Kluyveromyces lactis: one gene and its partners. The protein of the gene in region 2 interacts with the protein of the main gene of each other region in a biochemical or structural test. Links are inferred from orthologs where the notes say so. Each region holds a gene or a part of one and is shown on either strand. Other genes may lie near its edges.

Evidence for each region.
Region 1: the proteins of MCM4 (region 2) and PSF2 form a complex in vitro, tested with the Saccharomyces cerevisiae proteins (2 studies listed by BioGRID). The link is inferred for Kluyveromyces lactis from reciprocal best matches to the Saccharomyces cerevisiae genes MCM4 and PSF2.
Region 3: the proteins of MCM4 (region 2) and SLD5 form a complex in vitro, tested with the Saccharomyces cerevisiae proteins (2 studies listed by BioGRID). The link is inferred for Kluyveromyces lactis from reciprocal best matches to the Saccharomyces cerevisiae genes MCM4 and SLD5.

Annotation. Positions count from the first base shown.
Region 1 is NC_006040.1:557,970-560,653, forward strand, and holds PSF2 (DNA replication protein PSF2), read right to left. Parts: upstream 1,235-2,684; coding exon 629-1,234; downstream 1-628. Other genes in the region: ARG2 (acetyl-CoA:L-glutamate N-acetyltransferase), read left to right, coding at 1,557-2,684. UniProt on the Saccharomyces cerevisiae protein: Functions as part of the GINS complex which plays an essential role in the initiation of DNA replication by binding to DNA replication origins and facilitating the assembly of the DNA replication machinery.
Region 2 is NC_006039.1:1,537,555-1,541,786, forward strand, and holds MCM4 (MCM DNA helicase complex subunit MCM4), read right to left. Parts: upstream 2,832-4,232; coding exon 153-2,831; downstream 1-152. Other genes in the region: KLLA0_C17490g (S10 family peptidase), read left to right, coding at 1-1; mannose-ethanolamine phosphotransferase GPI13, read left to right, coding at 3,413-4,232. UniProt on the Saccharomyces cerevisiae protein: Acts as a component of the MCM2-7 complex (MCM complex) which is the putative replicative helicase essential for 'once per cell cycle' DNA replication initiation and elongation in eukaryotic cells.
Region 3 is NC_006042.1:1,023,600-1,026,484, reverse strand, and holds SLD5 (DNA replication protein SLD5), read right to left. Parts: upstream 1,508-2,885; coding exon 629-1,507; downstream 1-628. Other genes in the region: serine/threonine/tyrosine protein kinase RAD53, read left to right, coding at 1-356; PAC11 (dynein intermediate chain), read left to right, coding at 1,819-2,885. UniProt on the Saccharomyces cerevisiae protein: Required for DNA replication. Functions as part of the GINS complex which plays an essential role in the initiation of DNA replication by binding to DNA replication origins and facilitating the assembly of the DNA replication machinery.

The DNA of each region.
Region 1 (2,684 bases), on a different chromosome or scaffold from region 2:
AAGATATATATATATATATTATAAACATGCTGAGCTGTATTTATGACATGGTACACAGAGTTACGGGTAAAATGTCTTCGTAGCGGGAAGTTATCAACGCAACCATGCTGCTCTCTATGAGTTCATCCTGCTCAATTTCTACTGTTATTGTTTTCTATCTACGGTAAATTCTTTTCCCAACGTAATATTGAAGAAACGTGATTCGTTTCCGTGTTTGTGTTCCCCCCTTGTGTCGTTTTCTGTAAGTTATACCCGTAGTTCAATGCAAGGAACCGAAATAGCCTGAAGAACAACAAATATGATGAAGCAAGAACGTGGGGTGCACACGCAAGGCATGCCCGCGAGGCATGTTTGCGACACAAACGTAAATAAGAACTAAGCAGTGCGTGAATGTTCGGGATGGATCAGTTGTTTCGAATTACTACAAACTGTGAAGCGGGTACATGTAGGGTATGTAATATATGTGTTATTTGATAGGCCTGTACTTACATGGTAACCCGACCTTTTCTAGTGATTATGGTCAACTGTGTTATCATATAACCATGTAGGTTGGATTAAGGGGAGGGACTGGTGGAAACCTCGTGAATGGAATTTTGGATTCAATGGGAAAAGGTTATTATATTATTGATCACGTGGTGTCATTACTGGAGTCATGAATTGTCCTCAGTTTGTCCATGATACCACACGCATAGGGTCTCATCTCATTGATTTCCATCAAGGACAAGTTCTCTAGCTGTAAATGCGATTCGTTCAGGTACTGCAAACCCTTGTTGACTTTTCCCAAACGAACTTCTCGCAGATCTTGGACCTTAGATCTCAGTAGATGAACTGGATCCTGAAAATCATCGCTGCATCTGGCAAACAGCAGTGACGATACCACTAGCCAATTCCAGGGTAGATTGGAGAATCGTGATGGGTTTTTCAATTCAAAATCTAAATACTTCTCCAGCTGTTGTAACGTCAGCCAACTGGGTACCACGACGTTACACTTTCCCTGTTGTTTTAACAGTAAAGCCAGCCATAACGTGACTTCGCAACTATTCATTGCAACCATGTTATTTACCGTAGAATCATCGCATGTGATCAGTGACCATTGGGCGCCAGGATCCTTCGCGAGCTGTTTTTTGGTCTTCCTCGTAGTGATTCTGGGCATAATTCGTGTCGGTTCATTTTCAATTAAAAACTGTATCTCTTGGGGAGAAAATCCTATTGATAGATCTCTCGGTAGTGCCATCTCTATTTCAGGTTGGAGTTGCTAATCTATAGTGTCCTCAAGCTCACTACTTCCTTACATAGTGCTTTCAATGCGCGACTATGACCAATCGATATCTGTGCTTCAATTATTTTTCCATGTTCAATCTTGACATTGAAATCCAGCACAGGAAAAACAAAAACAGGAAAGACTAACTAAAGCTTTAAACTGGCAGTTTTCTCTGATGACTTGACTCATTGATAAAACTAGAATAAATGATGGTTTTATACACTTTCCATATTTGCAGATAAATGGTTTGATCTCATCATATAACGTCCAAAGGCACATTTTGTGGGCTAGTGCTATGATCAAAACATGGATTAGGTGTTTGACCACAGAGGTCAGATACCATCAACCTAATGCTCATGGCAGGAGTTTGGTTATGAGCGTTTTGAATTCTACAGTGACTAAAAGGGAAGCGAAAGACTATTTGAACAAATATACCGATGAGAATAATCATCACTACTGTCTTGTATTTTTGAGACATTTGTCCGAATATTCAGATAACGTACTTAGTGGGTTTAGCAAGACTGTGTCAAGAATTCAAACACTCGGACTAAGACCAATTTTAATAGTAGACCCGCTATGCCAAGACATATCATACCAAAGTCAGCGTTTGGACAATCATTTGCATGATCAGAGTCTGAAGTCAATAATCGTATTAGATCCCATTACCATCGGTGAACGTGGCTCAATTGACGTAAAACTTCCGATTTTGAACCCGCATATTATTCCGATTATTGAGCCATATCAGTACCATGAGAAGGAAGCTTTTAAGAAATTGGCTGGCGATCCATCTCGATTCTTATCATCTCTAGTGAGTAACTTGCCCATAAATATCGACAAGGTGTTCCTTATCAGCAAGTATGGTGGATTGCCGTCTGTGGAAAGACATACAAACAGCCATGTCTTTGTAAATTTGTCACAAGAATATCGAGAATTGAGAAACAGTTATCAAAATCAATTGGAGAAACTAGAATCTATTCAAGTGGATAATACTGAGAAGAATTTGGTAGAATCTCTACAATTATTTTTGAATCAGGATAAGATTCTTAGTAACAGCGATCAACTGAAATGTCATATGGAAGACCTTGAAATCATGAATAAAACGCTATCAGTTCTACCACATTCGTCTACTGGGCTAATTACCACTATTTTAGCAGGGTCCAAATTATCAGATAATAACCCATTGGTATATAATATCTTGACTGATCGTTCATTGATATCGTCATCTTTACCTCGATTCAAAAGATCGGCTGCGGCTCAATCGAAAAGCTGGTATGAGCTTCCATCTTCCAACGTGGAAGAGGAAGTCACTTCCGCAAACGATTCAGTTCTTGTGACTACAGTTTTCAAGAAGGGGATTGATATCCATATATTTGACTTCAGGACTTTGACCGATGATAATTCCATAGGTCTACCACCATCGCAA
Region 2 (4,232 bases):
AATATGCTATTATAATGTCAAACACTTTCACGATGATATATACACAGAACGTATGTATATAAGCAGAACATGCGGAAGGTCGTTATTCTCATTTAGCCCTTTGCAAACTATGTAGAGGCTTTCTCAGAAAAACTAGACTTGATAATATCTATTCATACACGGCCATTCAAACGAATTGATCTTCTTAGACCTTCTCCTAAGATTACTACCTTGTCTTCTTGTTGCAATCTTGTCAAAGCGTTTGATAATTCGATACTCTCCACTTTATCTTGCGATTGTTCGTTTATAAGCTTGCTTAGTTCGTTGAAACTTATTGTGTCTGTTGTCCTTTCTGTCAATATCTTTAAAATTTCTCTCGCCAAGTCTTCAAGCAATTTTCTTTGCACAACCGATTTACCAGTTTGTACAAGGTTCATATCAATTTTACCAGTTTTAGGATCCGTAGCGTAATCTTTGATGGCAGACTTTATCAGTCTCACTGCTTCTTCCACATCTTCAAGTTCAACTCTTTCACTTAACCTCATCTTAGCATGAGCTTCTGAAAGTCTAATCATACTTTCTAACTGTCTTGTTGTTGCGGTAATTCTTTTTTCATCTGATCTACTGTCATCACCCATCTTTCTCATACCGACATATGCCCTCACAAGTTCAGTCTTGGCTGACTCAGTTATTACCGGGTGAATGTTTTGTTTTGCATAGTTGATGTAGGCTGTCAAGAATTCAACTGGTAGAATATCACCTTGAGATACAGAATCCGGTCTGTCTTCCAGGTATAAACTGGTTAAATGCTTAGCGAGTTCACGATCAGACGCTTCGTTGACCTTGTCAAGCACTAGATAAACGAGATCAAATCTTGATAATAATGGAGGCGGCAAATCAATATTTTCAGTCACAGGAAGATTAGGATTGTACCTAGAGTTGATAGGATTGGCACTAGCCAGAATTGAAGTTCTAGCATTTAAAGTTGTAATAATACCTGCTTTTGCAATAGAGATTGTTTGTTGTTCCATAACTTCATGTAATACTGATCTAGTATTATCGTTCATCTTATCAAATTCATCAATACAACACACACCACCGTCAGAGAGAACTAAAGCACCACTTTCCAACACCAGTTGCTTAGTATCCACATCTCTTGTAACATAAGCAGTTAAACCAACAGCAGAGGAACCCTTACCCGAAGTGTAAACACCACGAGGAGCAATCTTATGAACATATTGTAAAATTTGAGATTTAGAGGTCGAAGGATCACCACATAGTAGAATATTAATGTCACCTCTATATCTTCCACCTTTCTTGAAAGTTTTATTAGCACCACCAAAGAGTTGTAATAAGATTCCCTTCTTGACGTCATCTAACTCGTAAATACTTGGTGCGATGGAACGTGACAAAACATCATAGACATCCGATCGGCGAGCAGTTTCTTTGATCCTCCTAATGTCTTCGCTACTCAAAGTTCTAATCTCTTCCACATTATCAATCTGGTTCTGCAAGAGTTGTTGTTCAACAGTAGAAGTGTCCACACCGACTCTATCTTTAGCCACCTTTTGGATATGAACCACATCGATGTATGTCTTGTATAGAGATTTGAGGGCTCTTTGCTTTGGATTCGACCTGATTGGAATAGATCTAAAGATACCTGAAACCTCAATTCTATCACCAGCACGACACGAATCAACCAGCTCATCATATACACATAGGGAAACAGAGTGTGGAGTTTGTCCATCAGGGACTAGATCAGGCGTTTCTTGTAACTTTATCACTTGTCTGTCTTGGAAAGTGCACCTATTGTGAACTAAAACCATGGAGTTTGGGCTATTACAGACCACTCTGGGACATCTCACTGGTTCTTGAATAATACCACGATCGATCTCAACTTCTACAGTATGATTGCATACGTTACATTTGAAAAATGCAACACTCATATCTGGGATAATAGGTGTGGATCTTAGAACTAAACCTTTGATACTCACCAATTTATCAATATCATTAGGATTAAGCTCTCTCATACCCTTTTTGGTTTCCACATTATATGGTCTCACTTTGAACAACTTCGATTCAATTTCATTCAAGTAACTCTCTAACCCATTATCAAGTGCTAAGGATACCATACAATCTTTAACAGTTTGATCCATAATAGCTATAATTTCTTGAGGGTAATAGAGAATCTGATGAAACAACTTTTCAGTATGTTTATAAGCCAGTAAATTTCTGATATCAAGGTTCAAGTTTGAAGTACCGAGTTGTCTCATTTGATTCAATTGATTCACATAATACAGCTCTTGGTCTGTTGTTTCGTTGATGAAAATCTCCTGATCATCTAGCTCCTTTCTATATTTCAACTTGAAAGACATCAAAAATTCTCTGAAACTGTTACCACACTCTTGGATCGAAACATTGGTACCCCAGATGATCTTCAAAGGTTGATCAGCAGCTTCAGATGCAGGTCTCGATGATGATGAAAATCCATTATCCGATGAGGAAAGGTTATTGAAAGTGACAATTCTTCTGGGAGATGATAAGTCAGATGCATTAATTTCGCCTCTTCTAGATCTAGAGTGTCTTCCCTCTCTTGCACTTGAGGATAGAGAGGATGAATAGTTCAATAGATCAGATCTCAAATTGTTAGATCTTAAACCACTGCTACTAGGAGCGGCGCGAGCCGTCTCTTGCGTGGCATTTGACGAAGACGAAGGATAGTGAAACGGAGAAGAGCCTACGCCTCGGTCTTGAGATGCCTGGGAATCCTGTGTACCATGAGGAGCTGGAGAAGAGCTAGGATCATAAAACAAATTTGGTGAACTTGGTTGTTGAGCTGGAGGTGAGGACATAATATTGTTAACCGTTTGTCTTCCTGTGTTCTATGGATATATACTGCCACTATTATCCAAATGCTAATTCAGCAATTTTATCAAACCTACTAAGCAGCTAAATAATCCTAGGTTCCCTGATATATCACCTTTCAATTGATAATGTTATCTTGTTTGAGATGCTTTGAGTGAACTAAGTGAAACTCGTTAAGATTTTACACATTTTTGGTTACATAGTTACATTTCCTAAAGAAGAAAACAGAACAAATTGAAATAAACAAGGTTCTAATGAGCCCTTGCCACCGTTGATAATACCATGGATCCACTCAGCTCAATGGTCAGTATCTTCGCCGATCAGAATTGGAGTTGCATTATTTGAAGAGGGAACAATGATCACGTGATGTACAATTGTTCTGTTTTAAAAGAAATTAACCTTTAAAATGAAATAAAGTGGTAACAAGAACTCTGTCAGAGGCGAGAGATAAGCGAACCACTTTCGCCAGTGTGACTCAATTCTTCTGCACAATATCATTATTCAACGTGAATTTATTGTACTTTCGTTTAGTTGTGTTTTTGTCCCGTTTGGAAACTGGTAAGAAGTGATGAATCCCACTGTTAGTGATGAACGAGATCGGGCAGAGAGAATTAGACTCAGCATAATGGGGCCTCAAACGAGGTCCAGTCGAATGAGCTATCGGATATCAAGGTTCAAGTCTACGCACACTCTGTACATACTATTACTTGCTTCTTTGGCTGTATTGCAGTTTATTTCCATAGCATTTTTCGCAAAAGGGTTCCTTTTAACAAGGACGGTGTTGGATAACGTTGCAGAACTTGATCCCCAGCTTCCCTTCGAAGCTAAATACGATAAGATGGTTTTACTAATAGTGGACGCATTGAGGTTTGATTTCGTTATTCCAGTAGATGAAAATCATGCCAAGTACAACCCTAATTATCATAACAATTTGAAAGTTCTTTATGAGACGGCCCATAACTCAACGGATTCTGTCTTGTTGAAGTTTTTGGCTGATCCTCCCACAACTACGCTACAAAGATTAAAGGGATTGACAACAGGTTCCTTGCCTACATTTATAGATGCAGGATCGAATTTCAATGGTGATGTGATCGATGAGGATAACTTAATAAAACAGCTTTATCTGCATAACAAGAAAATATTCTTTGCCGGTGATGACACTTGGGATGCCCTATTTAATCCGTATTTGGCTCCAGAAAGTGTACCATATGAATCCTTGAACGTTTGGGATTTAGACACAGTCGATAATGGGGTTATTTCTTACTTAGAGGAGTATTATTTCAATGAAGAGAAACGGTCTGAATACGATATCTTGATCGGACATATGTTAGGAGTTGATCATGTCGGACATAAGTACGGTCCTAATCATTTTACCATGAAGGAAAAAC
Region 3 (2,885 bases), on a different chromosome or scaffold from region 2:
AGTTCAATGATACCACTGGTTTGTTCCACGAGGGGAAGCTGGATACCAATGAGAAAACAAACAAGACACTTCTACATAAACAGACACAGGAGGAGTTAGCTTTAGTCCCTAAGTTTATGGAATTTATGAAGTCTAGATCATCACAACATGCCAAATCTAATATAAACCAGTCCTCTTCCAGTAACATAGATGCCAACTCGCAAAATATCGAGGAATTAGATTCTGTCGTTGAGATGAACTCGACTACAGGATTGAAAAGAATACATTCAGTGTCGTTATCTCAATCTCAACCGCAGACAACCAAAAGGGCTAAGCTTGCCCAAGCCCAGAAACCAGATATTGAAGGATTTCTCTGAGCTGATCATATGCTTGCCGGATGGGTTTTGCATACAGTAAATATGAAAAATAGGTACACTTTGAGTATGCTAGATAGACTTTTCAACGTTAATTGATGTAATACTAATACAAATTGGTTCAAAAGCACTATAGACCAGCAGTCAATAACACTAGGTAGAAAACATGCTGTGTTCGCAATAACATTGTTGAGAAATTATTGCTGGCAAACATTCGTTACAAACCTATATTTTTCGAAGAGTCATAGGTTCAGTAATACTGTTCAGAATTTTCATTATATTAAAACTACTCGTCCCTCAGTCATGAGATCTCGTATTACACTATAACGTATTACGTATACTGCCCCGATTAATAAGTAAATTTCTTCATTTAAATCTTCAATAATCACTGAGTAACAGTGTTTTCCATCATCATCGGTCGTTAATTTCGAATCAATACCACTTTCGTCAACTACCCCACCACAAACTAGTATAAATACAGTTTTATTCCAATCGGGTTCATCAATCATACTGATGGAACCCTCAGTATCGTTAACGGCTTGCAGTTCTTCTGGTAAGTGCTTAAGTACTGCGTTGTTAAACAGTTTTAGTAATATGTCAGAATGCTTCATATGGTACTTCACCTCTTCTTTGGACATCAATAAATCTAGTCTGCTGAGGCCCGCATTATTGGGTAGTTCGGATTGTTGTCTTAGGTAAATGCTGTATTTGTCAATTTTGCTTAACCGGCATCTGATGAAAGATCGAACTAGGAACTTCAATCTCTCAAGTTCTGCTTCCATGCATAAAAGTGGTAGCTTTGAATCGACAGTTAACTCTTGATTATCTTCTAAGTATCCCATTGATAGTGTTTCTATTAGTTCAATTCTTTCTTGAATCCTTATTAATGTCCTAGTCATGAGATGATGTGGATATGGAAGCAGCTCCGGACTCATACGTTCATTCTTCCAATGTGTAATTAGCTTTTGATAGTCGTCAATTTTGTTAAACTGTGTGGGAGCCACAGGGTCAACCGCCTTATCTGCTGGTCTTATCTGAGAGACATCATTGCCTTGAGTTCGATCGCTTTGGTCTGGGTATGAAGAAGCATTTTGTTCAACAGCTGTAGTGTCCCTATCCAGCTCAGCTAGAATGTCGTCAATATCAATGCTCATTGTACTAAAGAAATATGATCCTACCACCAGGACTCAAAGCGGAGGAAGTGTTCGGATAGTACACCGGGGTGGCTTTTATAATTGCTGTAAAGGTGTATTCAGACAAGAAGGACTTACTTGCAATGTGTTATCCTCCAACCTATTGTGAAATTCATCCAACTTACTGTAACATCGTATTTTTGATAATACTCAAATCTTATTTATCATCTTTTGTTTACGCTTAACAAATCCATACATGAAGCAAGATAAAACGCGTCAGTGAAGAAGCGCTCATCAGCAACACCAACCTCAGGGGGAATATACCCAGAAATATGGACAAGAATGAGCGCTTACAGTTGATGAAGCAGAAAATAGAGGCTCTTCAGCTGCAAAGGAAAAAAATTGATTCGAAACATGAAGAGATAGCAGATTGTACCCTTCCGTTCATTTCCCATATCACCAATTCCATAAATAACAACGAATCTGAAGTCAAGAAAGAAGTAAAAACTGTTGAGATCTCAGTGCAAACAGATGATGTAAATGAGTTTGAATTGAGCGCTGTTAAGGAGGCTGTGATAACATATGATATCGGAATACAGACAGATGAATATGACGGGAAACATGAAATTATGGAAGATGGACATCTACCTTCCCAAGATCTTATAGAACAGCAAGCATCGACTTCAGATATTACAGAGACCAAGGAGGATAAAGAAGTTGTTGAAAAGGATGTGTTTGATTTCGGAAATGTCGTTTCAGCGGAAGACTACGCAACGTTGAAGAAAGAAACATTTTCACTACAGGAGACTATAGAAGCGGCTGCGCTCAAGTCATCTTCTCATCAAATCGCTGGTGATGGGAAAATAAGCATGTATTTATCAATTTCACCAAAAGTTGCCATTGATTCAACTTCTGAAGCAAGGGTCATTTCCAGTGACGTCTTAGATAATTTACTGGTTACTGTGATTCATCTTGTAACCAAATACGTGAAAAGCTCTTTAGTTCAAATCACACACGTCTCTTCTGGTGAGGTACTTGATACAGTTTTATTCCAAGGTCAGAATGTTGTACGGAGCAAGTTTATTGATAATCCTAATTCTAAGATTACCTCCGTCGTTCTTTCTTGCTATACAGGAAAACTCATCTTATATGAACTGCGAACAGTCAAAATAAATAATAGCTTTCAGGTGGAAAGAAATATTGTTTCCACTAATTATCATCACTATCCGGTACTTTCAATTATAATTCCAAAATTCAATGACCATAGCATCCTGGCGGCCAGCACCAATGGCCAACTTAAGCTGATATCAACCTTAGATTTATCATTAAAAGAGGATGACGATGTCAAAATTATTCCTATCCCAAGGACGGACTTATCATATTCTACTGAACAGACTAA